Linked DNA regions of Mytilus edulis. The protein of the gene in region 2 purifies or fractionates together with the protein of the main gene of each other region. This does not show direct contact. Links are inferred from orthologs where the notes say so. Each region holds a gene or a part of one and is shown on either strand. Other genes may lie near its edges.

Region 1 (15,977 bases), on a different chromosome or scaffold from region 2:
ATTTCAGTGTTAACCATGTTCTGAAGAGCATTCTGTTGAAAACTCTTATGTGTGAATTGGTCTGCAGATGACACTTCAGCATTAAAGTATGTATCAACTATCATCATGTTTTTTTTTGTTTTGGCCGCAAAAGTTTACAATTTGCCATTGTGCCGTCTACATTTTGCACAGACAATAACTCATCTAAACACTCATTTGTCCTGGATTTATACACATCAGAATCCAGTCTCACATACTTAAACTTTATAATTCTTACCAATTATTTTTTGTACCAGCATTCCAAGGGACATAACCCTTTTTAAAAACATTTTGAGGTATTTTTTTATTACTCTTTCTCCCCATTTTCTAATGTAAAATACAAGAAAGTGGACTTTTTGTGTAAATCTATTAGAAATATACTGTTATGAGTAAATAAAAAGACTTTGATACCAGTAGCAATAAATGATTGACTGAAAGGGAACCATTATTTCTCACACTAGGGGAACAGACCAAAAACTCAAGTTACACATAAGGGCTTATAGAAACTTTCGTGTAGACTGTTAACATTTATAGAGACAGTTCTTTCAGCTAAAACACTTTAATTATTGATTTAACATTACATTTATTTCATTTTTGTGGGAAAATAATCACATTTGTTTTATTTTTTAGACAAAAGATATCAAGTTTTGATGAAAAAGGAAGGAAGGAGGAAAAATGGACCAAAACAGACCTTCAAATGAACTCTAAAAGGTGCAACAAAATTGTTTATCATCTTAAAGTTGTCTTTTGTATTCTATTTAATTGTTTGAATGCATATATCATGAGTTTATGATCAGATATTAGTCAACACTGCATTTTATAATGATACACTGAAATTAGGATTTTTCGAAGAAATTGGACTGAAATTGCCGTAGGATATGGCCTTACATTATAGTGATTTTCTCTGAAACTATAGTTCTGACTGAGACAAAACTTGACAGTTATGCTTGAAATAACTTGCAATTGGAGGGGAAAAAATTGAATTAGGTTTATTTGACATTTAGGTGTTCTTTAGGTGTAATACCACCAAATCATGGTACGTCACATCCGGTTGCATATGAAAGTAGGCCTAAAAAAATATTCCCTTGAATTTGACAGTTGTAGAAAATTAACCCTGCATTTCAATGCACTTAAATTTTTCTGAGTCGTAAATATGTATGTTGAGTGTCTGAAAGCATCATTCTTTTTTTATTTGATGGTCTTATAAAATATTTTGGAACGTTAAGGTTACATAGTTACCAAAGCAGGTAACCAGTAAATAACAGTGTAAAAATTGGGTTGTCTACCCTCGGCGGTGGTTACTTTCTTATATGCAATGAAATGTAGTGTGAAATTTTCACTGTATCACTGGAAAGGATTGAACTTTACACATGCAAAGTATTTCTTTGGTTGAAATAAAGGTAAATACTGTACGATTTTTTTAAAAGTGCCAATTTAACAAAGACTAATAGGGAAAAATCAATGGTGGTATTACACCCAATAGCTTTAACATTGAAAAATAGAAATGAAGAACCCAATCCCCTACAGTACTATCATAGATGGGATTATAACACAGAACAATCAAATTAATCTGGCCTCTTTTGCATTTTGTATATAATTCACTCATATACATGTACACATATACAGTGAAAATGTTTTACCAACACTGTAATTACTTACACTTTTAGCAGCTGCAAATTCTGATACACCAGGAACTGAAAGAATAAAAATCAAGCATTTCATATTTCCATAAATATAAGAAGATGTTGTATGAATGCCAATAAGACAACTCTCTAGCCAAGTCACAATTTGTATGGTTAAACAATTATAGGTGAAATAAAACGATAACAAAGACAACAACACCCATCATAGGTGAAAGTAGGACCTTCAACACAGAGTCTTGGCTCTCACCAAACAGCAAGCTATAAAAGATCCCCAAAATGATTAGTGTAAAACCATTCAAACTGGAAAACCAATGGCCTAATCAATATAAAAAAGGAGAAAAGAGAAAAATCTATTAATATTCTATATCTTTAATAATATAAAATTGTCATTCTTCTAAAAACTTGTTCAGATATACCATGTTGCTGCTAAAAAAAATTCAACATCTGTTGCACAATTGCAGTTTAAGAGTACTTTCTGATGAATGTCAATGCAACCAGTTGTTCCAGTTGGCTATTTTTATAGTGCTAAAAACTTACTTTGTTCTGGCCAAAGATCGGGTGATGCTCTGTCCAACTTCTCAAAGCTCATAAGATCTGGCTCTTCTGTTTCTAAAAATAAAATGAAATACTTTGCTTTGAGTAAGAATTTAAGAAAATATTCAACTGTTCCTCTAAGTCTTTAACATGTTTAAGTGGTCAACTTCTTCAGAGATGTTGATTCATACGGATAAAAATTCATAACAAAAAATTAAATGAAAGTTATTAAAATATTGTATCTGACCTATTTCCATAATATGATATTTTACTTTTGTACGTATTTGTTACTAAACTTGCCAACTTTTGGAAGGAAGCTACATTGAATTTATTTCTTCAAAAAAACATAAGTGTAGAAAAAATTATGTAAAAGGGATGCTAAACAAATGCAGCTGTGTTTCCTAGAAAAAAAAAGAATAATTGAGTCTGGTGAAAAGAAACCATGATGAACCTGAACCGGAAAACAACATTAAGTGAAGAGTTAAGAGTAAGTTTTCTGATTCCACTTACATCAACTTTTGGGGTATTGTTATACAATTGATTGTTTTACTGCATTTAAGATGACACACAAACTAACTTCGACTTTTTGAAACAAAGTCTTTTTATCAAATTATTCTGAACTAAATAGCATTGTTATATAATTTATTAATAACTATAAAAAAAAGTCTCCTAAATTTTTTCATATTTATTTATAATGAATTACTAATATCTCATTTGAAATATTTTAGTGATCTGTATTACACGGTTACTGTGTGTACATAGGTCATAGTTAAAATAGTGTTCAGTTTTGACAGATGAGAAAAAGCCTTACTGAATATAAAAAACTCATCATAGATACCAGGACTAAATTAAGTATATACGCCAGACGCACGTTTCCTCTACAAAAGACTCATCACTGACGCTCGAAAACAAAAAAGTTTAAAAGGCCAAATAAAGTACGAAGTTGAAGAGCATTGAGGACCAAAATTCCTAAAAGTTTGCCAAATACAGCTAAGGTAATCTATGCCTGAGGTAGAAAAGCTGTAGTATTTCAAAAAATTAAAAAATTTGTAAACAGTAAATTTATAAATATAACCATATCAATAAAATTCATGTCAGCACAAAAAGTGCTGACACCTGGCCTTGTGATAGTCGGATACCCTCGGAGAAATAAATCTCCACCAGCAGTGGCATCGACCCAGTGGTTGTAAATAAACTCATCATAGATACCAGGACTAAATTTAGTATATACGCCAGACACGCATTTCGTCTACAAAAGACTCATCAGTGACGCTCGAATACAAAATAGGTTTAAAAGGCCAAATAAAGTACGAAGTTGAAGAGCATTGAGGACCAATTATATCTTTATTGATTCAAAAATAATCAACAAACTACTTTTTTCTATATTTAGAGTATCTGACATGTCTGATAAGGTCAACAAAGTTACACAAATTTGACAATAGGGACAGGTCAAGTCAGCAATAATTGTGTAATTTGATTTTCCTCGGCAGCCTGCTTTCATCTCTACATTCAGCTTCACAACAAGCATGTTATTAGTTTATGTGTTACATTTTTGTTTTCGTTCATTTTTGTACATACATAAGGCCATTAGTTTTCTTGTTTGAATTGTTTTACATTGTCTTTTCAGGGCCTTTTATAGCTGACTATGCAGTATGGGCTTTGCTCATTGTTGAAGGCTGTACGGTGACCTATAGTTGTTAATTGCTGTGTCATTTTGGTCTCTTGTGAAGAGTTATCTCATTGGCGATCTTGCCAGATCTTCTTTTTTTATAGGTTTAAATAAACATACTGCATGACTCTGAAGACACAGCAAACAATCAAAAGCAGATTTTTCAGGGGTCCTATATTATTGTGTAATTAGATGAGGGACAAATTTCCCTAAAGATAAGTAAACAGACTAACAAGGAAAACAGAGGACAGTTAAATCAGTTATCAGGTAGACCAGCTTAACAACTCTGATAAGAAGTAAATATCTAATCATCACACATCTTATCATGCTGAATTTGTGGCAATAGACCACTTTACAGTTAAAATATTATAGCAATATTGTAAAGAGGCAGATTTTTATCAATGAAAATGAAAATGCTAGGAATGTGCCTGTCCCAAGTCAGGAGCCTGTAATTCAGTAGTTGTCGTTTGTTTATGTGTTACATATTTGTTTTTGGTTCATTTTTTTTGTATAAATAAGGCCGTTAGTTTTCTCGTTTGAATTGTTTTATATTGTCTTATCGGGGCCATTTATAGCCGACTATGCGGTATGGGTTTGCTCATTGTTGAAGGCCGTACGGTGACCTATAGTTGTTAATGTCTGTGTCATTTTGGTCTTTTGTGGATAGTTGTCTCATTGGCAATCATACCACATCTTCTTTTTTTATATACAACATGTACAACTTGTATTTATATTGAAAACATCTGTATAACTTGTATTTCTTTTAATATGCAACCTATTTTTTGTTTGTGTTCTTTTTTTGATTGTTCATGAACATTAATAATGTGTTAACTGTTGATATTTATAGTCTTTTTTTCCTTCCCTGTGAATATCACTGTCACTCTAATATAATTATAATCAATATTACTATTGTCAGTTTATTGTCTTGATTTTGTATGCCATAACCATTTAATGTAAATGTGTTTGTGCTAATAAAATATTGTCTATATTGTACAATGTTGACTGTATTGTATGCACTTTTACAAACTTAAACATAATGAATAAATCTAATATGATTTAATTTTTGGTCAGACGTGTGTCACAAAAATAATCATAATAAAAGATTACATCAGTTATTCAACTTATTGTCATTGTACTTAAAGTAATTACAAACATGGTAGCTGTTTCACTTTTGGTCAGACCATATGATACAATGTATGTTACATGTTTATGAATTCGTACTACAAATGCTTTTTCAATGGAAATTGTGACGTCACTCATGTCACAATTGGTTCTTACATGTAATAGCACAAAAACCCATAATACGAGGATATATGAGAGTAAAACTGCAAAGGTTTTCAAAACTTTTGGATATCTATAAAATTTTATAGAGTATTGCCATACCATCCATATAGAAATTTACAGCCTGTAAAATCAACATGGCAAGGACATAAATAAAGAGTCCTTATTCCTTTTGCCAAAACTCAATGCAAGTATAATATCAATACTATTTTTTCCCAGACACCATCAGAATCTGGAATGGACTGCAACAACAACTAGAAGCTGCACAGCCCTTTAATCATTTACAAGGGGTTTGCAAGTTGTTCAGCTTGGATAGATGTTCAACCTTGTTTAAACATTGTTTTAAGTTGTCCGAGATTACTCTGTTGGACCCCAGCTTGTCTGGACAGTGTAATATCAGACTATATTTTAAAAAGCACCTTTTCACTTAGTCCGAGATTACTCTGTCGTCCAATGTGAACGGCCCCAGCTTGTCAGACAAAACAGTTGTTGGACGTCAGATTAATCTCGGACTACTATTCACTTTAGTTATTTGGCACTTCCCCGCATATAATTTGTTGTTCCCACATGGACTGTTCTATAAAGGAAGAAGAAGAAGTTTGGCGTGAACTGCAAAAACTGATTGGGAACACAGGAGTTTGAAATCCTATCAATAAGGGGGTAAAAATATACCAAAGTCGAGGGGTAAATTCGAGAGAAGCTCTACTGTGATAGTCGACTTTGGTATATTTTTACCCCCTTATTGATAGGATTTCAAACTCCTGTGTTGGTAACAGCTGAAGGGAAAACGGTAGTATTTAATTTTCCCAGCATTAGGTTGGCCTTTTGTGTACCCAAGGCAGGTGAAGGAAGTCAAATTAGCAGCGCTGTGATTGGATGTAAGGGTACAATATATTTTTTATTTATCTATGAATAACTGCAGTGTGTATATTTACAACATAAATTTTGAAACCTATTGAAATATTTTCTAGAGAATTATTTGAAAAGACTTGCAAAATTTCATAAATTTGGTGCAAAATGACGGTGGGCATGGATAACATAAACAAGCTCCGTTGGAAGTTGGTCATGATACTATTTGGCTTTAATTTTTAAAACACAATAATAAAGTACTAACACAACATATAACTGTTTTATCCAAGTTTTTATCTTAAAAAGTTGTAAATTTAGAAAATGTTAATATTGTCGCCTATGGCAGAATAAATAGTACCGTTTTCCCTATACTGAAGATAGCAAGGGAAATCAAAGTCACTAAGACTTCAATTCTTTTATACTATTTTGAAGCTTTTGATTAGTACATTTGATTTTTATCCCAAAGAATAGAAATTTTTCACTGAGAACAATACTGTGTTGAGAAAAGTGCTGAGTCATCACGATAGGTCAAATTGATTGGTAATGATATAAAACTTTATTCTAGGATGTCAATACTAACTATATTGTGTAAAATGCACCATATTATAGTTCTTTTGTATTTGATTTCACCTTTCGCAATGATTTTTTCAATTGGAAACACCAGAATTCAAGTCGCGACAAATATTTTTTACTGAAATGTTTGCCTTTTTTGCTGCGTAATTCCCTAAATGTATCACTTGGGTATTTCTGTAAACATTATCTATTAAAATGGGAAATTGTCTGGTTTAGTTTGTACTGTTTATGGAATTAGGCAATATTTGGTCACATTGGAAGCATTTTCAGTGTTAGAATTGTTCATCTAAGAAAAAAAGAGGCCCACTTGAGGCTAAATTTACATAGAATTTATGCTCTCCTGTGTAAAGAATTGTTCACATTCTTGATAATTCATGCAGCAAATATTTCAAAAGTGCTTCATTTTGTAGTTTCTTTCTTTTATTATATCAGACATTAATAATTTTTCATTTCCTACTGTTTGAATGGACTTTTGGTGGAAATTAATACTCCCAAGGGATATAATTCAGCTTTTTCATTGATTAATACAGGCAACAAATGCAACTTTACAGCTGAGTATTTTGCATATTTAATGTTTAAAGTGTCTAATATCTTTGTTTTCATCATCTCAAGACAGAATAGTAGATTTTATAACAAGCTCTGAAATTTTTAACCACAATATGGCATATACTAAAGCATGGAATGGAGATTAGTATGAAAAATCTTGAATTTGTGCATTTGTTGTAAATTTTTGATAAAATGAATACAAATTGAATGGAACTGTCCATTTTATCTGTTTAAATGGAACTATTTATCATTCTGTTTGAATAAGATAAGATATGATTGGATACAGGTTGTTTATTTAGGCTTTTCTGAAAGAAGTAGAAAATGAGGCAAACCAGCATGTGGGGGTGGGGACATAAAATGATCTATGTTTCTTTAAGTACTGGGAACATACAAGTATTTATTATAGCCAAGGTTTTCACAATAGCCCAGTATTGCAATCATAATGTCATAAGAATTCTTTATATCTTTATGTCACAGTATAGGGAAAACGGTAGTATTTAATTTTCCCAGCATTAGGTTGGCCTTTTGTGTACCCAAGGCAGGTGAAGGAAGTCAAATTAGCAGCGCTGTGATTGGATGTAAGGGTACAATATATTTTTTATTTATCTATGAATAACTGCAGTGTGTATATTTACAACATAAATTTTGAAACCTATTGAAATATTTTCTAGAGAATTATTTGAAAAGACTTGCAAAATTTCATAAATTTGGTGCAAAATGACGGTGGGCATGGATAACATAAACAAGCTCCGTTGGAAGTTGGTCATGATACTATTTGGCTTTAATTTTTAAAACACAATAATAAAGTACTAACACAACATATAACTGTTTTATCCAAGTTTTTATCTTAAAAAGTTGTAAATTTAGAAAATGTTAATATTGTCGCCTATGGCAGAATAAATAGTACCGTTTTCCCTGAAGACAAGCTCTTATAAGTCTAAGACTTATGTTTATGGGCGCTGTGAGAGTTTTGTGTAGAACAGATATAAAGATTTATAATGCAGTAATGATTCATATAATATTTTCCTTAAATGGATAATGTTAACATGTATTCATTATGACAAATGTATTGTTTTTGACTTTCAATTTACCCGCATTTGTTGTCATTTTTGCAGAAAATAGTAATATTAGAGTCAAAATCGGTGACGGATTTGTAAACTAACCTAGACTAAAACCAATAAAATAAAATAACTGACAACGGTCGATAAATCACATACAATCCTATCTAAAATTAAATCTATGAAATCCCTTATTATTAAATGAAATTTGTCATTACACCTTACACACAGGATTAAAATACAGCCATGTAATCTAACTTACAAGAAATTCTTTATTGGATAATGATAAAATCTGCAAATGTTGAGACAGTTCAATTGAATAAAGATAAATAAGTGATTTGTTGTATTAATTAAGTTTGTTTTTACAAATACTGAAAATTTGTTTTTTGTTAGATTCTACTTTTCAACTTTGTCATATTGTGACAGGATTGCTTCCCTTAGAACATATTTGTAGAGTACATGCTCTCCGGTTACAATATAAGTGGAGATCACTCTTGTAGTAAAATTTTGATATACAATGTAGGAATGAAAATATTTTTTTTCTTTATTTTAGCACTATTAAGAACACAAGTTTGGTGACACCATTTATTCTTTTTATTTTCTAAAACCATTTTAAAAAGCATATCTTTTCATATTTCATTTCTTTATTCTTTCTAATAGATTTATTTCATGAAAAATCCTTCTTGTAGTTTCAAAAATAGCACAGTGACTCAAAATTTTATTATATTTTGCAAAATCATATGATAAATTCAAGGTTTGGCAAAGTATAAGAAAATTTTATCTTGTGAAATCTTTAATAATGATACAACTTTAAAAATATTATGTGTGAACTACCAATGTACTGGTATATATGTCTCTGTATATGTTGTTTATTTAATTTTTGTATTTGTATTTATATTTGGTATCATTTCTTTATTAGAATTTACATCAGACAAGAGTAATGGTAATTTAAAATTATATCTACCAACGTAAGTAACTTGACACATTACTTAATTCAGGTTAGATATTGGTTCAAATTGACCCAGTTGTTCAAAAAGAGGAGATATTTGAACAATTCATCATAATTTAGGCCTTTTGTGAAAACTTCATATTTGCAGCAATACTTGAGTGTTAATTTTTCAGAGATGCTGGGTGGCATCAATGGATGCAAATTTGAAAGCCAAACATTTGTTATGAAATTGGCAATGTTCTTGCCCAAATCTTATTTCATTTCACCAATAATCACAAAAGGATCATTATTTACTAGGCACTCCAGCTCCCTCCATCAATAAAAGTGGCCACCACAAAATGTAGTGCAAAATATTTTAAGGGTATTATGTTCCTTTAAAGCTAAAATCTGGTGACTGGTATATCTTTGGTATTCTGTAAAACTTATAATGGTCATTTAAATTATCTGATCAACATCCATCCATGTATATCTAAATTGCTGTTCACTGTTCTTGTTCGTGTGATTGCAATCAGAGGTATGAAAACTTTGTTGTCTTTAGGTGTCTTCTTAAAGATTTGATTCCTTTTACATCCAAATGAGCTAGTCAGTAAGTTATCTCCTTTCCATAAAATATTGTCTTACTATTAAACTCCTGTTAACCCATCATTTAAAACAAAGAACAGTTTAATTAAACTAACTCTCAATGAAACAAGAATGTGTCCAAAGTACATGGATGCCCCATCCAAACTCATTTTCTATGTTCAGTGGACCGTGAAAATGAGGTAAAAACTCTTAATTTGGCATTAAAATTAGAAAGATCATATCATAGGGAACCTGTGTACCAAGTTTCAAGTTGATTGGACTTCATCTTCATCAAAATCTACCTTGACCAAAAACTATAATTTGAAGCGGGACAGACGAAGGAACGAATTAACGAACAAACGAACAGACGCATAGACCAGAAAACATAATGCCCATAAATGGGGCATAAAAAAGGGCTGTATTTCAGACATGATCTGAACTACATGACTTAATATACATGTATAACTAAAATAAGACTGAAATTTCAGTTTGTTTGATAGAAATTTAAGACAAGTGGAAATACCCTGGACCATTACTGCTGAAATCAAGTCATTTGGCAGGCATATGCATCCTCTCTATAATCCCATATGGTGCAATAATAAAATTACATGTATACTTCATTATCAAGTAGCACTTACAACGATTTAAGAATTAAACACAGATTTACAGTTTGTATTTCTTTTTAAATATGCACCCATGCCAAGAACCTACATTTGTATGTGCCTGTCCCAAGTCAGGAACCTTGTCAGTAGAAGTATATCATATACTAATACTTTTTTTCTATTTGGAGAATTGGGTATTGATGTCAGGTCTTAGAGTGTTAGTCATATTTATTCACATGTTGGATGGTTTATGGCTTGAAGTATTGTAGACACCTTTTAATGTTGAAGACAATTTGTTACTCTCTAAATGTCTTTTTTTTAATTGGATTGTTGTCTGATATATACATTTTGTACTTGAACATCTCCCCTTATTCATATCTGCAGATGTATAAGTGAGTCACACATAATGACACATTACAGCCTACCAATATGAAGCTTGGTGAACAAATTACCAAGAAGCACAGGTTTGTAGTTGTTTGAAATTATGTGATGAAAACTTCATATACATGCATCAACCATTGTCAATGGAAAAACATACATGTGTAGGCCAAACAGGAAGTAAAAAGTGAGATATCTGTAAATGTGTCACACAGTAAAATTCTCCAATATGATTTTTTTTTGCATTTTTGCACCCGTTCCAAGTCAGGAGCCTTAGTCTTGTCTGGTTTGTTTTTTTAGTTGATTTATATGTTTCAGAGTTTAATGTGACATCCATTTCACTAGTACTAGTACATATTGTTGTTTAAAGGGCCAGCTGAAGCCTGCCTCTGGGTGCAGGAATTTCTTGCTGTATTGTAGATCCAATGGTGGCCTTTGGCTGTTTCTGCTCTTTGGTAGGGTTGTTGTCTCTTTGACACATTCCTTATTTCCATTCTCAATTGAAGGCTATATATCCCCTTTCCAGTATACTGAGAAGTAATTTAATTTCACAGTTTTCCTTATTTCACATCAGAGAAGATCAGAGTTTGACATATTCATGGCGTTTTATATTTATGATAAAATATGGTTCATCATAGTGTATGACTTTTTTGAGTAATAAAACTATATAATTAATCAGTACTCCAGCATCTTAGAAAATGAAAAAGAGACATGATATCATTCTTTATAAGTGGTTTATTTACAAATGTGAATGTGTATAAATATTTCGTTCATCATTTTATAAAATAAATGATTTAAAAGTATCATATAAATTCCATAACAATTCTGTATAATCTGATAAATATACAAAATGCAAATGCTTATCACTTGTATAAATCTCAATAAAATACATATAAAAATGTATATATTAATAGCACTTCAAAAACAAGAAATTTTGTTCAAGTGAGCAAGTCTGAAAATACTACCATCAACTTAAATTTTCTAATTCATCAATGCCACATCTATGCATATCTGATTATAACAGTTTACCAAATTCCCAAATTAAATATTATGCAATGTTTGTTTGTTTATTTCATGATTGGCATGGCGTATGGACTAGCTTTGGACGATAAATCTGCATCATCTGATCTCCACATCTGTGTGACTGTTTTTAACTGTGTGTAAAAGTTTACTCCCTGTAAAAGATATGTTATGTGTTTTACTATAACTTTATTATACAAACAAAAGGCATTGTAAGTGAACAATGCTATAAGCAGTTACATGAAAATTATTTGGATAAAAATTAGCCAGTTTTTTTTTTCAATATAAAAATTTTGTTCTGATTTTACATTTCAATTATATGCATACAACATTTTCCTATTTTATGATTTTCTGCATTTCAAAGTATTCTTGTTCTAAGAAGAAATTTGTAAACTCTCTTGTTCTGTTTGATCTGATTAAAAAAAAATATTTAAATTTCTGTTTTGTTCACTCATCGTCGAAATATACACACAACATTCTAGATTTGGGCAAAATTGCTTTTTTCAGAGAAAGGAAATAACTATTGAAGCTTGCTAAAGATTTCTTTTTTTTTTCAAATTCAAAAACAAATGTAAATTTCAAATTTTAAAACATTTTGTGGTTTGATTCAAAAGTGAAGGTAAATGATCCTCCTACCCATAAATATTATGCAAAGATCATTACACAATACTGTATTTGTTACTATCAATATTCATGATGGTAACTGATTCCAAACCAATAAGAGTCATTAATAGTTATTGCTATAAATGAGATATGTATAATACTTACAGCTTTTCCATAGAAGTTTTGGTCACCCTTGAATGATCCTCTAGAACCAGTGAAGGAGAACATAGGTAAAGGCACTGGGATAGGTACATTCACTCCAACCTGTTTATAAAAAGATATTAAAATAAAGGACAGAGCATAAAATTACCAAGTTGAATTATATATAGGAAACCTTATGTCTTTCTTAGTCTTCTTTACTGTTGAGAAATAGATTATCAATTTTGGACAGCATACCAGTTTATTGTAATATGCTAGATAATTAGTATTGTTACAGTAAAATATACACAAAATATATAACAAAGCAATAGTGATGAATCATTTATGATAAATTATCTTAATTGCAAATATTTGTTTCTAAGTTCTTCAATATTTTCACTAAATAGGGCATCACAGCAGAGGTGTTCATTTTTTTGTTTATTTGTATCCCTGAAACAAATGATATAGGTTTTCAATGGCTTGAGCACACAATCTTCAATCTAAATCACATAACCTTTTTGAAATTATTTAAATTATTCAACTCGGGAACATATTACATCTCTTAGAGTACTGAAAATAAAACAAAACAAGTGTTAATATTTCTCTATCTTGAAACAACCCAAGAATGTTTTAATAGCAATGAAAAATACAAAACTTCTTCACTCTGAATGATGTTAAAAGGTCATCAATTGACCCAAAAAAATGTTATATAATATACTTAGTCTTTCTTTCACATCTCTGATCAGAAATTTACTCGACAATATAGAATAATTATACTTTAACTGGTTTTTTTTTACTTTACCTCACTGCTTTAACCATAGTATGATCAAAATGATATTGAAACAAGAATGTGTCCATAATAAACAGATGCCCCACTCACACTATCATTATCAATGTTGAATGGACCTTGAAATCGAGGTCAAAACTCTAATTAGGCATTAAAATCAGAAAGATCATACCATTGGGAACATGAGTACTAAGTTTCTTCAAGCTGACTTCAACTTTATCAAAAACTACCTTGACCAAAAACTTTAACATGAAGTGGGACAGACAACGAATGGATGCACTGACCTAAAACTATAATGCCCCTCTACTATTGTAGGTTGGGCATAACAATTTCATCCAATCAAATACATACCTGTCCAACATCAGTATCCATTGTAAACTTTCTGGCTGTGGCGCCATTGTTAGTAAAGATTGCTGTTCCATTTCCATAGGGATTAGCATTAATCATATTAATGGCATCATCTAAAGTTTCAACCTCCATACTGACCAACACTGGACCAAATATTTCCTCTGTGTAACATTTCATTTCAGGCTGTGAAAATACAATCATTACACATTTTTCAAAGAATTTCGAATATTAATAATTTTATGCTAATTATAACAATAGCGTTTATATTTGTTATTTTTTTTTATCATTAAGAGAACTTTTGTTTCATTTTGCAAAGAATGAGCAAAGTTGACAAATTGAAATGTCACAAGTTAGTCATAATTTCAGATATACAGAACACAGAAATGGTTTTCAACTTGTATTCCTTTGAGTAGCTAATAATTGAAAGATCTTCTAGTAAAAAGGATGCAATGCATTCTAAATATATTACAAACTCTGATAGATTTATCCATGAAAAAGAATATTTGAACATATATTTCGTGCAAGTGCTCAACAACATTGAAACCACCACCTTCCCCAAATATTGATTTATTACAAATTATCAATACGACTTTAACTTAGCATGGAAAAGAATCTTGAATGTTAAGCAATTATCACTCAAGAAGTTAAAAGAATAGAGAGCCTTCAAATTCTAAACGATTTATATTTTCGATGAAAAATGTACTGTATATAATTTATTATCATATTTTATTAGTCAGTACATGTATCTATGTTATGCATAATGCTAACCAACTTATTATTGCAGATTCATTTTTACATTTTTAACCTTTGTCTGGCAATTTCAAATCAATATTTTCTTATTTTCTGTGTATTCATTATATAGTAAAGACAATCCAAGTTTAATTTTGACTATTTTCCTCCACATCTTCCCCACTTGCTAATATGGAAAATTGAGTTAGTTTACAGAGTACCATTGTCTAGATGGTGTTTTACCTTGACATAGTGCAAAACGGTAGGTCCAACAAAGTTTCCTTGTTCATAACCTTTGACTGTAATATCTCTACCATCTAACAACAGTTGTGCTCCTTCATCAACACCACTCTGGACCAATTCACAAACTCTATTCTTAGATTCAGGTGAAATGAGTGGTCCTATATCAGCATCTGGTTCATTTCCTATATTTAGAAAAAAAACCTTGCCACACTGAATGCTATATAAATTTATAAAATCATAATGCAAATCTTTCTAAATTGATGGGGGCCTTGGTGGCCGAGTGGTCTAAGTATTTACCACTGTAATCACTAGCCAGTCAACACTGAAGTTGTGAGTTCGAACCCCACTCGTGCGGGTGCACTCAACTCAAATCTTAAAATTGACTAGGATTGTCAGTTTTCCTATCGAAGGTCGTGGTTTTCTCCAGGCACTCTGACTTCCTCCACCAATAAAAATTGGATGTCACGAAATAGCCTAAATGTGGTGCTTAAAAGTGGTGTTAAAACACCAAAAATCTATTCAAAATCAAAATTGATGTACCATGTAAGAAGAAGCTACATAAACTAGTCAAACTAAGAAAATAAAACCAAGGAGTTACCAAATAAAATCTTAAATCTGTCAATGGATGAATGCTCTGTCATAATTATACCTTAACCTATAACTTGTTAAAGTTATCGGTCAAGGCATGTTAAACACGCCTACTTTTTAAGGAAAGTCTTATTAAGCAATTACAGTCAAATTACATGAGATTTATTCTTCAAGGAACCTAAAATATTACACTTATTTCTACACAATTGTCAAAAGTAAGTAGTAGTTATCACCAGACATGAGAAAAATGGTAATACAAGCATCAGAAAAATAGTAATACAAACATGAGAAAAATTGTAATACAAGCATGAGAAAAATGGTAATACAAGCATGAGAAAAATAGTAATACAAACATGAGAAAAATGGTAATGCAAGCACGAGAAAAATGGTAATACAAACCTGCATTAACTTTGAGTTTTTTGGCCTTCTCTATAAGTTCTGGTATCCATTCCTTTGCCTCTCCAACAAAGATGGCTGTAGACAAAGCCATACATCTTTGTCCTGCTGCTCCAAAGGCTGCACCTATCAACTAAATAGCAATATGGTAAAAGTTAAAATTACAGTGCATATATGTTGTAGGTTGAAAAATGTTTCCCTGTGCTATAGATGCAGTGGCGAATCCAGAAATTTTATAAGAGGGGCCCACTAACTGCCTCAAAGAAGGCCAGCTCTTATAAAATTTATGGATCCGCCACTGCATCTATAGCACAGGAAAACATTTTTAAACCTTCCACATTTATACACTGTTATTGTCAAGCTTCAGTGATTCCCTATAATTAACCTTTTTTTTTTCCTCGAAAGGGAGGCCCCACCTAAATCAGTTTCTGAGATGTATGCTCTTATATTTTTATTATAATGGT
Region 2 (16,160 bases):
AAAGTAGGTATGAATTTCACTACAAATATGAAAATCTTCAATATAAAAAACAAGCATCTTTTCTGTATCCTTATCCAATAACAAAACGTTAACCCTGTTAGTAAACAACTGATAGACAGAGTGACGACTATACTATCGTCATCACATCCTTGCATTATGCACATTTTTTTTTAGTCTTTTTTTTATTCTTCTTTAAAAGATACCTACCTGATGTGCATCTAAGTCAATAATCATAGCTTTAGCTACACCCTCAACACGCTCAAACAGGAACTTTAATGATAATGTGATGTCCGCATATGCACAAAACCCTCCTCCTTTCTCAGCATGGCAATGATGAAATCCTCCGCCTATATTGATGGCCCATCCTCTTTCCATTGCTAATTTGCCAGCCTGTAAAAATTGTTTTAAAACATTTTTTCTCGTGTATTTCTACTTAATTTCATATGTTAATAATTTAATAAATGCAAGTTGAAATTAAACTAAAATTAAAATAAAGAGCTGTATCCAGACATACAACCAATTTGAGAAACTTTTGTATGTATGTTTTTTATAAAAAAAAAATGTATCTCCATACAGTGATTAAAGTGAGATTCAGTAAGTATTTATATATAGATATTTCGGAAATGTTTCATGAAAACTAAATAAAATTGTTTTTATTACTGTCAGAGACTATAGTTCATTCATAAATGTATTTATTTGGATGGAGAGTTGTCTCATATGCACTCATACCACATCTTCCTATATCTATTAAGATTATTCAACACCAGGCTTTTATAACATTTTAATAATGTAAATTTAGTAAGATAAAGATGGTTTCTTTTTAAAATAAGCTAACAATACATACCAATATAGTACCTCCTGTGTGATATCTGAAAGGTCGTAAGACTTTTCGTTGTACAATGAAATTAGGTAACAAAGCCACAGGTGGCACCTCTGTTATCTGAGCCACATTTAAACTCCACTGAAATTAACAAAACATGCCTTACTCTGTTATCAAGTGTTTTTATTTATATTAATATTCCATATAACCTTTTTTGTTCTATTCAAAATGTGGTTGCTTACAATGACAAAGAAGGTTGATTGAATAAATTTTATAAATAAATAAATCTAACTTAAATTTCATCACTCTTCTGACTACTGTAAAGAGCTAAGGCAAAAAATATCTTTATACCTCTGTTATGATTAACAAGCCACAAACCAACACATACAAGTAAATACATACCATTGATTGTAGTTGTGGATTAAAACAAATGCATTTTATCCAAAATGTTTATGAAACTGACAAATACATTTAAAGATGATAACCCTTTTTTCAGAATTGTATATTCATGTTTATATATTCATTTATCAATTTAACTATAAGATGAAAATTCAAATCTGTTATCTGTGCAATTCTCCCCGTCTCTTTCTAGAATTCCTTGAGGTCCCAGTGCTTGTATCTAATTTATCTATATATTAAAGACATGCTTCTTCCCCTACTTTTCAACAATTATATTATACAGATCTTCAATGTGAAAAGAAGTTAATAGGCAATATAATTACACCATCAAACATTTAACATAGAAGAAAAGATGACCTATGCATTGAAATGTCTTTCAGGGTCAATTTCGGGGTGTAATACACCAACTGTACAAAAAACTTTTTATCATAGGGCTAGACTTTCTTAACATGCATGTATACCTATCACAGTGAATGCAGGAAATATATAAAGGAACAGTTCTTTTTTTTTATTATGGTTTTCCCTAATAAATTAATTACATTTACATGCAAGAGTAGAATGGAGAGTGAATTTCTTATTTATAGAACTTATAACCAGAATTGTTCATGGTAGTTTTTGAACAAACAGTTTTATTTCATTCTTTTATTATTTTCATACAGATGTTTTGAAAGTGTTTACCCTCAAAAAACAAATTTTAGCAGATAAGCTGTCATCATGAAAATACATCAAACACCATGAAGAAATTTAATTGGTATAAAGCATAAAGGTTAAATAAATTTCTAATTTCGATTTCATTTTATTTCTTTTCAATTGTTCAAATTTTAGTGGTTGCAAACATGATACAATATTGAATTACAAGGAGTCTTGGTGTTAATTTTACGTGAAATACTGGTTTATAAAAATATATTCAAATAGTAAAACTTCAAATAAATTTACTCATAAAAATAGACTTTAAACAATTTCAAATTTGGTTGTTTTTTTTTTTATTTACTGTGATCATGTGTAACTGTGTTGTGTTACTACATTTCAAAGATTCTAGATTTTGACATTTTCAGTTTTTAGCCCTTAGTGTATTATGCAGAATAAATAATGACCCATAAATGTATCTTTCCAAACACCTTATCATAACTACCATCAACTAAATATTATAACTTCCAATTTTCCTGCAAAATTGCTCAAAACCAATGATAAATGACCATAAATTAACAGGCAACATAATAACACTGTTTTCTGTGTTTGATAAAAAAAAATGTAGGTAGAGAATGTATGCTCATATGTGGAAGGAAATTAAAAAAAAATATGACAGTCAACCTATGCTAACATTTTATAAAGAATATGCAAATGGGTATGGTTACTATGGTAGGAAGTTAAAGTGAAATGTGTACAATAATCAGGTACTAACAACATGCATTTAACATACTGACTGAGTACAATAATAGCTTATTTGTGTGTTTCTTTTATTTAAAAAATATTGATGCTATACATATTGTAAATGGCGGTACATAGATTATGCAAGTTAACATTCAACCTTGCTAATATAAATCCCTTTTATTCAAATCAAGACTGTGAAATTTGATGTCTGTATAGGTGCAAGGACATGTGACACATAAGCATGCAACAAAAACTGTGTACAATATAATACCTCATCAATCCCCTCCACGAAATCTGATAGCTACATAACGAAGCAGAAAAACTACTTGAGCAAAACAATTTAGTATGTTAAAAAGTAAAATAGAGCCTGTCTCAATGATTCATGGAATTGGGTTAGTAATATTTTGAAATATATAAAACTGGTACATAAGATGAAAAAACTTTATTATGAGAAGTCATTTTCTTTGTTTCAAAACATTCAATTATTTCAGTCTTAGAGTATATAACTTTTGGTTAAAAATACTGAAAAAAAGACAATTCAAAGATTTTTTTTACATAAAACAATAAAAACTATAGCTAGTGCATATAAAAGGATGTTAAAATTGTTTTAAATATCAAAGCATGCTTTTAAAAATCTGAGACAGCATCTATCATCACATGTTAAACAATATATCTATAAATGTTAGTAAAAGTGAAGTACAAAAGTTGTTAATTACATGTTAGAAAAACATACCAAAGAGGGTACTGATGAGTAACTAGGACATTATGATATATATTGTCTAAGAAAATGTACAACATTAATTACTCTAAGTTAATCATGTAACATCATTAAAAGCATTTTTCATATTATGAAAAAAAAGTTAATATGAAATAAAAGAATTGTGTTTTCTAAACAAATGATACATAAAATAATCAAAATATAACATATGCATGATATGGTTTCTTAGCAGTCCCATTACCATGCACTGTAATTTAGTATCTTGGTTATTTTTTTACCAATTCAGTTTCACTGGAAAAGTCTTTTCATATGACTCCAACATGAATATTGTTTTGACAAAAACACTGTCATTTGAATAAGTTAACACAAGAGAAGAAGAAAATAAACTGAATAACTTGTGTGTTATGTAATTAATAATATATATAATTGGCCAGATATGAACAAATTGCATAATGTGCTCGGAATTAATCATATTGAATGAAAAAAGATCCATATTATAACCACCATCCTTTAAAGCTGAAAAATGAAAAGAGAACTAGGATTATATCTTACTTTCAGATCTTTGAGGTATTGTGCAGTATGGACAACCAATAAATCTGTTTGCGTAGCTTCTTTTGGCTTTACTATGGTCTTCTCTTGAATCAACTTAGCCTCTGAAAATATTTATTATGTATCAATAAGTAAAAAAAACTGGATAAGAAACATTAATCAAAGTGCTTGTTAGCACTGTAGATAAGAAACATTAATCAAAGTGCTTGTTAGCACTGTGGATAAGAAACATTAATCAAAGTGCTTGTTAGCACTGTGGATAAGAAACATTAATCAAAGTGCTTGTTAGCACTGTGGATAAGAAACATTAATCAAAGTGCTTGTTAGCACTGAAAGGGTAAAGATTGCTTTCATATTGCAATTTCATGAATTCAAAAGAAAACATTGAATTGTAAATAGCTCAGCAAATTATAAATTTGAGTTGAGCCTATTTTTGTAACAGATTCATACGCCATGCAATAAATTATAAAATATTCAATAGAGAAAAGTCTTCTTGACAAGTACAATAATTAAAATTCCCATTATGTTGTAACTTGAATGTCTGATTACATCATATCATTAATAAATTGCTTGATATTGACTGAATAAGATATAAAGAATGATCTCTTCACTGCACTATTTTGTTTGAAACCATCAAATGTAGTGAAAAACAATGGAAGATTTTTAAAATATCAAGTCAGTACATGTACAATAGGGTTTTGATCGCATTTTATGCATTCTTTACACAAGAAGTCACTCAGATCAAACATTAAAATAGCAGGTGCAATATTGATAATTATACAATGAAAAGTGAAAAAAATAGGTCTACCAGTACCTTTTAGGAATTCATAAACCTTTCCCCATTTCCCAGCATCAAAGGGATGAAGTTTTTCTAGACCAAGAAATCCAATGTTGTATTCAGGTGTATATATTATAGGCCATTGTGTTTCTGCAATCTTAATGTACAGCTCTGTTGACTGAGGTGCAGAACTGCAAAATATAAATTCAATCATTTATTCAATCATTTATTCTATCATATTAATCTCTTAAAATGAATGTATAGCATTAAATTTGATTTTTTAATTTCATGACTGTATTATGTACTGCAGTGTTACTGTCTTATAATCATGATAATAACTATGTGTAATCTTTAATAGGAATTTTATATCTTTACTTTCAATATTTTTCTTTCAGCATGTTCAGTATTTTAAGCAAAAAGGTTAAAATAAAGAAGGTGCTGTCCATAATCATGATAATATTGACTTAAAAACATTCTTTGGGGTTTCTGCATGGTTTTTTCTGTTCAACTTGATGTGTATTTGAGGTATTGGATAATTGTAATGCATGTTTTAAGCAGTTGAGTATCTTGCATGATCATTGTGTTTTTTATTGTGTGTTAGTGATAAAAGAAACTCATAGTTTTCCCTTTGATTGAAATTGCTACTAATTTTCTTATGATCAAATGACAGCTTGCATTGGGTAATGGAAAAAAAAGATCATTTATGCATACTAAGAATTTTTTGTCAATATTATATCAATTATTATCAGATACCAAATCACCAACTAAATGCTAAATTGACTATCAATTCAGTGTTCCAGCTAGGTTTTCAAAAGGGCAGGGTGCCAATCCTGAAAAAGGGCATTTAAAGCGCGATATGATAATATGAAAAGGGCATATTTTAATAAAAGATGATAATCAAACATTTGTGTTTATTCGTTGAATCACAGGTTATACAAGAACAACATCTTTAGCCCATATAGAACTCTATCTTTCTACTTTTAAGGCTGAACCAGATGCTCCGCAGGGCGTAGCTTTATACGACCGCAGAGGTTGAACCCTGAACGGTTGGGGCAAGTATGGACACAACATTCAAGCTGGATTCAGCTCTAAATTTGGATTGTGATTAAATAGTTGACACATCATAGGTTTCTGACACAGAATGAATGTGTTCTAATGAACTTAAAATTTTTGTTTTCTCTTAGAGCAATTCACTATGCTGTTGAATATTAATCCTCTCAAAAAAATGTTTGAAGAAATTTTCTTTTTTATTTATGAAATTTCAAATGAGAAAAATTGAACCCAATTTTTTTAATCACATCCCCCTTTCCCTTATTCCAAAACTAATCTCAATTAAAATTTCTAATGGAGTTTGCAACAATAACTACTCATTTAAATACATCATAAAATATTAAGATGTAAAAAAACTGCTTGTTATCACTGAATGGTAAAGATTATTTTAATTTATCAGTTGGTAGTAAAAAGTGAATATACATTGTATATTGTATATAACAAAGATTTAAGTTGATTCTGGACAAAGAAAGATAACTCCAATTAAAAAAAAATCTTGCTATTGCACAATATTTTGCAATTAGATATTTCTTGCTTACTATTCTGGACAAAGAAAGATAACTCTAATTAAAAAAAATTTTGCTATTTCACAATATTGTGCAATTAGATATTTCTTGCCATTGCGCAATACTTTGCAATTGAAAAGACTTGCTATTCTAACGTTATGGTGCGAAAACCAAGAAAAATGCTTATTTGGGTCCCTTTTTGGCCCCTAATTCCTAAACTGTTGAAACCAAAACTCCCAAAATCAATCCCAACCGTTCTTTTGTGGTCATAAACCTTGTGTCAAAATTTCATAGATTTCTATTAACTTTAACTAAAGTTATAGTGCGAAAAACCAAGAAAATGCTTATTTGGGCCCTTTTTGGCCCCTAATTCCTAAAATGTTGGGACCAAAACTCCCAAAATCAATACCAACCTTCCTTTTGTGGTCATAAACCTTGTGTTAAAATTTCATAGATTTCCATTCACTTTTACTAAAGTTAGAGTGCGAAAACTAAAAGTATTCGGACGACGACGACGACGACGACGACGACGCCAACCTGATAGCAATATACGACGAAAATTTTTTCAAATTTTGCGGTCGTATAAAAACTTGTCAAGCAGCTTGTCACACAAGTTTTTTTATCATTGCTTGGCACAGTTGAACTTTATATGCAGTATGTTTTGAAAGGAGATCTGTTTCATACTGTTTCTATGGTCTACCACATTTTACCAGTTTCACCTTTCTACCCCTGCTGTGCTTGATGGCAATACAGCACAAAACAGCTGTGCTCAGTAAATTCACAATTTTAGGATATAAAGCAACAGTGAAAAATAGTATCAAAAATAAAGAATACAGAATAGATGACCAAGGCACCCTACCAACACTGCTACTAAGACCCTCTTTAACTTTTCCCATAACTCAAAATAAATACCTAAACATATATATTCTTAAGCAAGAAGTATGGAGACACATTTTAGAATATGTAAATGGGTTACTCAATGCTAGGAAAAAAATCAGATTGAGTTATCTTTCTTTATTCGGGTGTGCTCCTTCTTTGGAGGATTATAAACAGTACGTAAATATGATGTAAATATGATCACAATATGGCGGCCGATTTTGTTATTTTCGTATCAAAAATGAAGGCAGTCAATGACAAATACGTCTGAATTTTCTGTTTATTTTACAGAAAACAAGTAAAACAATGTCTTCAACGAGTTTATAATGGTTTTCCAACTTTCTGTCATTACGTTTCTTCCATGAAACTACGGTAAACATCGCAAATTGTGCCCAAGTTGTTGTATGCACATTTCTTCAAAGATAATTGCCGACTGACCGATTCTATTTGAACGAATTAATGTTGATGATCATTAATGACCCATCCGATAAACGGATTACCTATATAAACAACAGATTATGACACCAGTTGTAACCATTGATTAGCTTGGGGTGGTAAACAAAGTCATAATCTTTTCCCCAGGTAAAATTTAGTAATTAGCGTATCATATCAATACGCAAATTAATATGCAATCGATCTTCAAAAAAGGCAGGGTGCCCTGGAAACTGTAAAAAGGGCACATGGCGCCACTCGGAAAAGGGCGGGCGCCGTGCCCTCTGAAAACGGCCTATCTGGAACACTGTAGGTGCTGATTTAACAAGATGCTGCTCATTTAACCAGATCCAGACTAGACTTTTTCTTAATAGGAGCTGAACTTATTTGTAACCCATTAGATTAGATTAGATTTTATGGGCGCAGCCATTTTATGAGCATAACATGGTATTCAGAATTAAAAGAATGGCTTATCCTGATTGGTCGATATGTGCGCCCGTTATTTTTTATTTTTAAAGACTTCGTGCACTCTGCTTTATACAAAAGGCAAAATAAAAATTATTCTGTAGCCCTAACGGCACTGAGATGACTTTTTAACGCTAGGACATGACACGTATTTTTAAGGGCAAAATTGATAGGCATGGGAGATAAGTACAAAATACGCTAAGAAAAGCAACGCGAACCTATATTTTTGGGACCAAAAAATACTGTCCTAATAACTTTTCTTTGATTCTAGCAAGGTTTCGTTAAAAAAATCATTTTTCTAATGCTGTATCTCGAAAAAGGCTACCATTGTCGCCTATGGGGAAATTAATTGTTTATTTCAATCTTCAACATAGAAAAGTAAGAGACTGGGCCATTTTTGCTTGAAACAAGTACCTATATAAAATACATGTTTTAAGTCACTGCCACTGTCAAGGCACTTGTTATTACTAATATATTAGAATACTATAATTTCAAGCATTTAGGAATCATTCAGGGGACTATTCTGTAGTTGGTTGAATTGCTTCCGTCTGTGGGCCAACCAACTCTGACATCGACATATTAATTAGGCTGAGGACAGACTCGAAACACTTTGTAGTTTTTTCTTGTAGCAAGCATGTATTTGTCTTTCTTTTTTTTAATTGTATAAGAGTCTAGTCTAACATTTCTTTCTGGATATTGTTATCTTCGTTTGTTGTCATTCTGCATGTTTACGGAAGTAAAAATTAATAAATGCAAATAAGGATAAGAAAGATTTTAAAATTTTAATTGAAATAAGCTGATTGGAAACATAGCAAATAACACGTATTTTAATTGACCAAAATACTCAAATAAAATAAAAAAATGAATGAAGTACTGAAAATATCTTTTCACTAATGGTGTGTTATTTAATATGTTTATCCCAATGTAAAAAAAAGTAAGAAAAATGCTGTCATTTATTCAAAATGTTAAAACTTAATTAAACCAATCACATCTTACGTTATAAGCGTCTGTCGGCTACGAAAGGAAAATGGCGGAAAACTAAAATTTTGAGCACACAGTCTAATCATAATTTGTTACAGAAGTGTTCAGAGGTGTCAATATAGTCTGTTAAAATGACATCTGTAAAAGGTAAAAATAATGATCAAATCAAGAGCAGGTATATAAGCATATGTGACCTGAATGATAATTAAAACAAATATTTGCAATGAAACAAGAGTCAGTTCAAATTATGGTTCGGCCTTGGTCGTTTCGGACTTGTCATCCATCCATCAGCACATTGATGACTTAACACGTACCTCGGCGCATCTCAAACAGACACTTAATAAAATAGAACAATTTATGAATGCAATAATTGAATTATATTGTGCACAAAGATAACACAGTTTTATATTTACAAACAGGTTGGATATCTCGGTCTTAGCAACAAGAAGCGACACTAAGAATAATTTAGCGACAAGAAGACTATTTAAGGACAAGATTTATTTCTTTTTAATTAGAGAATTACTTATTCCAAATAAATATTAAAAGAATATGCAAAAAAAAACAATTTTAGCAACAAGCATGACATGAAAGTTTATATTCTATCAATAAATTTTTTTTGAAACATAGACAGTGATTGGGAAGGACGTGCGCCCTGTGCCTATAGCGCATATTGACAAGAAATGGCGCATACAGTGACACACGTAAGCGCCCACGTGGCGCACAATATTTTTCACTTCGTTTCGAAACATTTAGATATCGTGTTCCGTGCCGCCATGTGTGTGTACATAACTGTGTAATGTTCCTCCAATAATAGGAGCACCTATATATTTTTGGGACGTCTCGGGTGTTTCCCTTTGATAATAGAACCATGCGATTTAACGTCTCGGGTGTTTTCCTATTGTAATAATACTAGAACCATGCGGTCTAACTGATAACCCGAAAAACGTAATTAACCATCATTCATGATATATTTTTTTTTATAAACAACTTTAAATTTGTGAAATTTGGCTAGTACAGACGAGATTTAACACATATAATAATTTCATTTAGTTTAGCTCGATATTATTTCGATTGAAGAACCCAAAGACTTTTTAGGAATATAGTTTTTGTCTCCATAAAAGACGCTTAACTGTCCTTGTCATTTTTTGGTCTTTGGCTCGTTCTGACATTTTGTAAACATGACTTCAGCGATTTGTTGTTTTGTTCTATGAATTAATGGTACTCTATACTGTTATTCTTGTCACCGTGTTGAAGTTATAATAATACAAGAAGTGCAGAGGAAATGCCTGAAATGTCCTCTGATACGGAACGTCTGGAATAAGTATGGTATTGACGAAGACCCAAATTTAATGTACGAAAAAAACCAAAAAACATGAACATGAGCAAGGCAACAGTACCAGTTTAAACATTGCAACAGTGTTTTCCTTTTTTCACTAAGGTAAGGTGGGTGTTTTAAAAAAATAACTTGCAACCGGCTGTTTTTTTTTTAAATGTCCAACCTTTTTTAATTTACTGTGGGTGCACGTGGGGGTCACAGAAATAAAGATGAGTATAATATTCACATTTAATGGAGTTGAACAAACATAAATAGAAGTAGTCATATTAATTGTCAAATATTCTTTGATTTTATTTTTTCAAAAATTTATCTCTTCTTTCATTTACAATTTTATGCATCAGCATGGATTTAAGGCCGTTCGATCCAGGTTTCTGATCTGTTTCTTGCTTTTGTGCCGTATTTTTGGCACACAGAACAGTAGTATCCTTCCTTTGTGACTATAAGTCATTTGAAGTCTTGCTCATATTTGTCTTCACTTGCGTGTCTTTTCCGTTGTTTGGTTGATTTAATTTTTGTTCAATTTCCACAACTTCAACATTACTATCAATTTTATTTAACTTATTTGGTCTAGTATTTTCTTTATCATCATCGTCATCTGCCTTTTTTTTCCCCCGATTGATTAATGAATACATTGAAATTTGACGATTGGACTCCATCTTTGTCAATGAAAACAAGGCGGGATAAGTATTCAAATTTTAACGGTACAAAACCGAAAAAAATCCGGATTTTGAAAAAAAAAAGCCGACCACCTCCTAAAATCGAAAGGTGGTCGGCTTTCAAAAGAAGGTGGTCGGCAAACCCGGCTTAAATGCCGAATGGAAAACACTGTGCAAATAAAGGTTAACTTGAATATTGTTGGGGTTGGAAGAAGAATTGTATATTCATTGAAATTGAAATTACAAAATCACAGGAACAATACCCATGATTTTATTTAAAATCATAAAGGTAAGTACCAACATGACCAACACCTCTTTGCCAAAATATACTGATACTTTTTTTTACAGAAGTCAATTCAAATGGCCCACTCATTTGACAACATGGCCCATTGTTTTTTTAAATGGCCCATTGAATTTATTTTTGAGGAGCCCTGGGCCCATAGTGAAAAAAACCTTCCAGATCACTGCATAGATCTAATTGCTATTTATATTTGTTGAATTATGAAATATGAAGAACTGAAATCAAACAAATAGTTTTCAACATTTTAATTTGTGTATTGCCTCATTTAATGATATTTATCAAGCATAGTTTAATGTTGATTGAAGATTAAAGTCATAATAAACGAGTGACAGGTGAAAAATAATGTTATTCCAATTCTTGAACCAATGCATACAAACATCATAAACTTAGTCTTCTGTGCACGATTCTATAATTTTTTTCGCATAATATTCATATAATCGTCAATTTTTTTTCAATCGGTCAGTGTTGTTGTGAATATATGGCAGGTAATTAAAGTTTGTGTTTTGAAGCTGAAGTTTAATGATTGTCACCTGTTTGTCAACAATCAACAAAAAAAGCATGGATATTGATCACGTGTTTAACATGTTTAATAACATGTACAATCAGATAATAGTTTATTTTAAGGACATCCATGCGTATTGCGATCACCGGATTTTCACTAGATGGGTCACACGGAGGTCACTTTGCATACAGAAATTATGTCGGGGGGGAATTGTTTCGTGGAAGGAAAGGAAGCAATTAAAATAAAGTAAACTTCTTCTTAATATGAACAAATTAAAGAATTTTCTTCAGAAAAAAGTTATATGAACATAAGTTTTATAATGAAAAATATCCATTGAGATATATAAAAAAACATATGCATTATTTTTTTTAATTTGAAGTTTTTTATGACTTTAAAGGAAGTTAATGACAATCTTGAGTTTTTATACGCCCGTCGTCTTTTAGACGGGACGTATTATGGTATACCGTTGTCCGTCCGTCTGTCCGTCCGTCAGTCCGTCCGTCGTCAACACTTCGGACAATAACTCAAAAACGCTTTCACCAATTTCCATGAAACTTAAGTGAATTGTTAATATCTATTGACGTAAGCTCCCTTTCGTTTTTTTTTAATTTCAGATTTTAAGTTTTGGATTTATGGGGCTTTATTCATAAAAAAGGGGGGATTTTCAACACTTCGGCCAATAACTCAAAAAGGCTTTCACCAATGTCCATGAAACTTTGGTGAATTGTTTATATCTATTGGTGTAAGCTCCCTTTCAATTTTTATAAATTTCAGATTTTAAGTTTTGGATTTATGGGGCTTTATTCATAAAAAAAGGGGGATTTTCAACACTTCGGCCAATAACTCAAAAAGGCTTTCACCAATGTCCATGAAACTTTGGTGAATTGTTTATATCTATTGATGTAAGCTCCCTTTCAATTTTTATAAATTTTAGATTTTAAGTTTTGGATTTATGGGGCTTTATTCATAAAAAAAAGGGGGATTTTCAACACTTCGGACAATAACTTAAAAAGGCTTTCACCAATGTCCATGAAACTTTGGTGAATTGTTTATATCTATTGATGTAAGCTCCCTTTCAATTTTTATAAATTTCAGATTTTAAGTTTTGGATTTATGGGGCTTTATTCATAAAAAAAAGGGGGATTTTCAACACTTCGGACAATAACTCAAAAAGGCTTTCACCAATGTCCATGAAACTTTGGTGAATTGTTTATATCTATTGATGTAAGCTCCCTTTCAATTTTTATAAATTTCAGATTTTACATTTCCGTGTTATGAATTTTTATGCTTAAAAAAGGGGGGATTTTCCAATTTTGGGACAATAACTAACACTTTCACAAAATTTTATGCAACTTTAATAAATTGTTTATATCTATTGACATAAGCTCCCTTTCCATTTTTATAAATTTTAGATTTTACGTTTTCTTAAGTAATGAATTTTTATACTTTAAAAAGGGGAATTTTATGAAACTTTGGTGAATATATTAATGTAACATCCCTTTTGATTTGTATATATATTTCTAGTTGATCATATAAATTCATTTAAAGCATAAAAGACAAGTTAAAAGAGCAACGGGCGTATCATGCGCTAAAGCGCAGCCCTTTATTAACAGGTGTTCTCTATTTACAATGATTGTATATTTTGGCACGTGTAATTGGATAGTCTAACACGTGTACGAAGTTGAAGGTGTTAATTGGATGTTATTGTAGCAATAAACCAAGGGGCTGAAAACAGTACATTTATTTATCTTTAACATATTCTTTATATTTAATAAAAAAAAATACACAATCCCTTTCTTCCTCACAAATGTCTGATTTCTTCATCTATCAATATAATAATAAAAAATATTATCAATTCATTTGTGCCCATATATTAAAAAAATTAAATGCATAGTTTTTAATATTTATTTAAATAAGTAATCTTAATAAAAAAAAAATGTTTTTTTGTCGCTAAATAGTCTTCTTGTTGCTTCTTGTCCCTAAAATTATTCTTCTTGTCGCTTCTTGTCGCTAATTAGTGAGACCCGGATATCTAAATATGCTGACTTTGGTTCATGGCCAAAACTTCTGGAAAGCTTTGCAATATCATTTGAATATTTGCATAACAAATCATTTGTTTTCCAAAGTTTATTTGAATAAAAAAAAAAATCTACTTGATTGTCTATATATTGTCCTGATAAATAAAAGGTGCGCTTGGACATTCAGGCTGACATTGTTTGAAAATTTTCCCCCTTATTAATTAAAATGTGTCAGATATTTGAACTGACATTATTACAGCATACTCTGTCTGACATTTCAAATCTTTATTGGTCAAGTGATTCAAACTCACACGTTTCAAGAATATGCATTACTTAACTTATACACTTTTCAAGAATATGCATTACTTAACTTATACACTTTTCAAGAATATGCATTACTTAACGTATACACTTTTCAAGAATATGCATTACTTAACCTATACACTTTTCAAGAATATGCATTACTTAACTTATACCCTTTTCAAGATAAAATTGAGAATGGAAATGGGGAATGTGTCAAAGAGACAACAACCCGACCAAGTAAAAAACAACAGCAGAGGGTCACCAATAGGTCTTCAATGTAGCAAGAAATTCCCGCACCCGGAGGCGTCCTTCAGCTGGCCCCTAAACAAATATATAATAGTCCAGTGATAATGAACGCCATACTAATTTCCAAATTGTACACATGAAACTAAAATTAAAATAATACAAGACTAACAAAGGCCAGAGGCTCCTGACTTGGGACAGGTGCAAAAATGCGGCGGGGTTAAACATGTTTGTGAGATCTCAACCCTCCCCCTATACCTCTAACCAATGTAGAAAAGTAAACTCATAACAATACGCACATTAAAATTCAGTTCAAGAGAAGTCCGAGTCTGATGTCAGAAGATGTAACCAAAGAAAATAAACAAAATGACAATTATACATAAATAACAACAGACTACTAGCAGTTAACTGACATGCCAGCTCCAGACTTCAATTAAACTGACTGAAAGATTATGATTTCATCATATGAACATCAGGCACAATCCTTCCCGTTAGGGGTTTAGTATCATACCATCATAACATATATGACAGTCTGCACGGTTAGCCACTAGTCCGATGCCTCAGACTAGTAAAATTTCATTCGGACTAGTAAGTATTTGCAAAACTTTCTTTGGACCAATAAGAAAAATGTCAGAATATTGGTCTTCGGACTAGTAGTTGAAAAAGTTTTTGGTGTAGACTGATATGAGAAGAACATAACCCGTGTCATGCCAACAACTGTTTTTAGAATAAATGTGTTTAGTTCCGATGCAAAGACCTTATCAGTGACTCAATATTAACGCCAAAATATGCAATCTTTAATGACTTGACAACAGTATCGTAATTATATCCCTTCTTAAGAAGTCTATTCAAAGGTTTTGTAAGTTTCTGAGGTGAATACTGACACCTTTGTGCTTTATAAAGAATATTTCCATAAAAAATTGGATGTGAAATACCTGAACGTATAGAAGTCTGCATGTTGAGCTATATTTACGAATGATGTCTTTATACCGATGATAAAATTTAGTAAATGTTTTGACTAGTTTGTGATATCGAAAACCCTGGTGTAATAATTTTTCAGTATTACATAAAGGAGTAGGTCCGGTAAGGGCCGATTTCGGCCTCAATTTTCAAGTTCATCTAACGAAAGATTGTAGACACTTTCTAAACACTTAAGTGTCTATTTCCATTGATTCAATTAGTTAATGGGGAAGATTTTAACTTAATAAGTCATTTAAAAAGCCCCGATTCAAGCTTAAATATGAAAAATCTATCAAATATGCCAAAAATCGTCACTTTTCAGATGGTTTTTGTCACAAATGAAAGTGGCCGCATCTGTGTTCATCCTCAACCTTTATATATATTATGTATTATCATCAAATACAACTTACATTTCAATATTATGAATGAACACAAATGCGCCACTTTCATTTCAGACGGAAACCGTCTAAAATTTAACTAAAATGCTACAATTGTGAAGATTTCAGTAATTTAGCATGATTAAATGATGCTAGTACCCGATATATGTGCATTGTTTTGTCAAAAACAGCCCATATTTATGTAGCAGAAGTATTCTACTTTGCAATAAATATCTAAACGATTACATTTTCACAATTTTCTAAAACTGCTATATTTTGAGGCCAAAAAGGGGTCTTACTGAACCTACTCCTTTCTCTCGTTACAATCTAAAACATTGTTACATACACGAGCGAATCGTACAAGTTGAGATACATAAACACCATAAGATGGTGACAAGGGAACGTCACCATCTAAAAACGGATAATTAACGATAGGAAATGAAAAATCATCCCTTTTATCATAAATTATAGTATTCAGCTTTCCATTAGTGATAAAGATATCAAGATCGAGAAAAGGGC

The links.
Region 1: the proteins of protein lin-37 homolog (region 2) and protein lin-52 homolog purify together in Homo sapiens (affinity purification with mass spectrometry; 6 studies listed by BioGRID and IntAct, counting the BioPlex papers as one, with this or other methods). This does not show direct contact. The link is inferred for Mytilus edulis from reciprocal best matches to the Homo sapiens genes LIN37 and LIN52.

What each region holds. Positions count from the first base shown.
Region 1 is NC_092346.1:42,563,465-42,579,441, reverse strand, and holds the start of protein lin-52 homolog, read right to left. Parts: upstream 8,251-15,977; 5' UTR 8,221-8,250; coding exon 8,205-8,220; intron 2,271-8,204; coding exon 2,199-2,270; intron 1,713-2,198; coding exon 1,678-1,712; intron 730-1,677; exon of another isoform or gene 649-729; intron 87-648; exon of another isoform or gene 8-86; intron 1-7. Other genes in the region: probable methylmalonate-semialdehyde/malonate-semialdehyde dehydrogenase [acylating], mitochondrial, read right to left, coding at 11,729-11,836, 12,450-12,548, 13,561-13,740, 14,530-14,711, 15,517-15,646.
Region 2 is NC_092344.1:36,878,395-36,894,554, reverse strand, and holds the start of protein lin-37 homolog, read left to right. Parts: upstream 1-8,965; 5' UTR 8,966-9,076; coding exon 9,077-9,092; intron 9,093-16,160. Other genes in the region: histone deacetylase 11-like, read right to left, coding at 208-390, 845-961, 2,862-2,891, 3,861-3,961, 4,672-4,826, 8,646-8,683.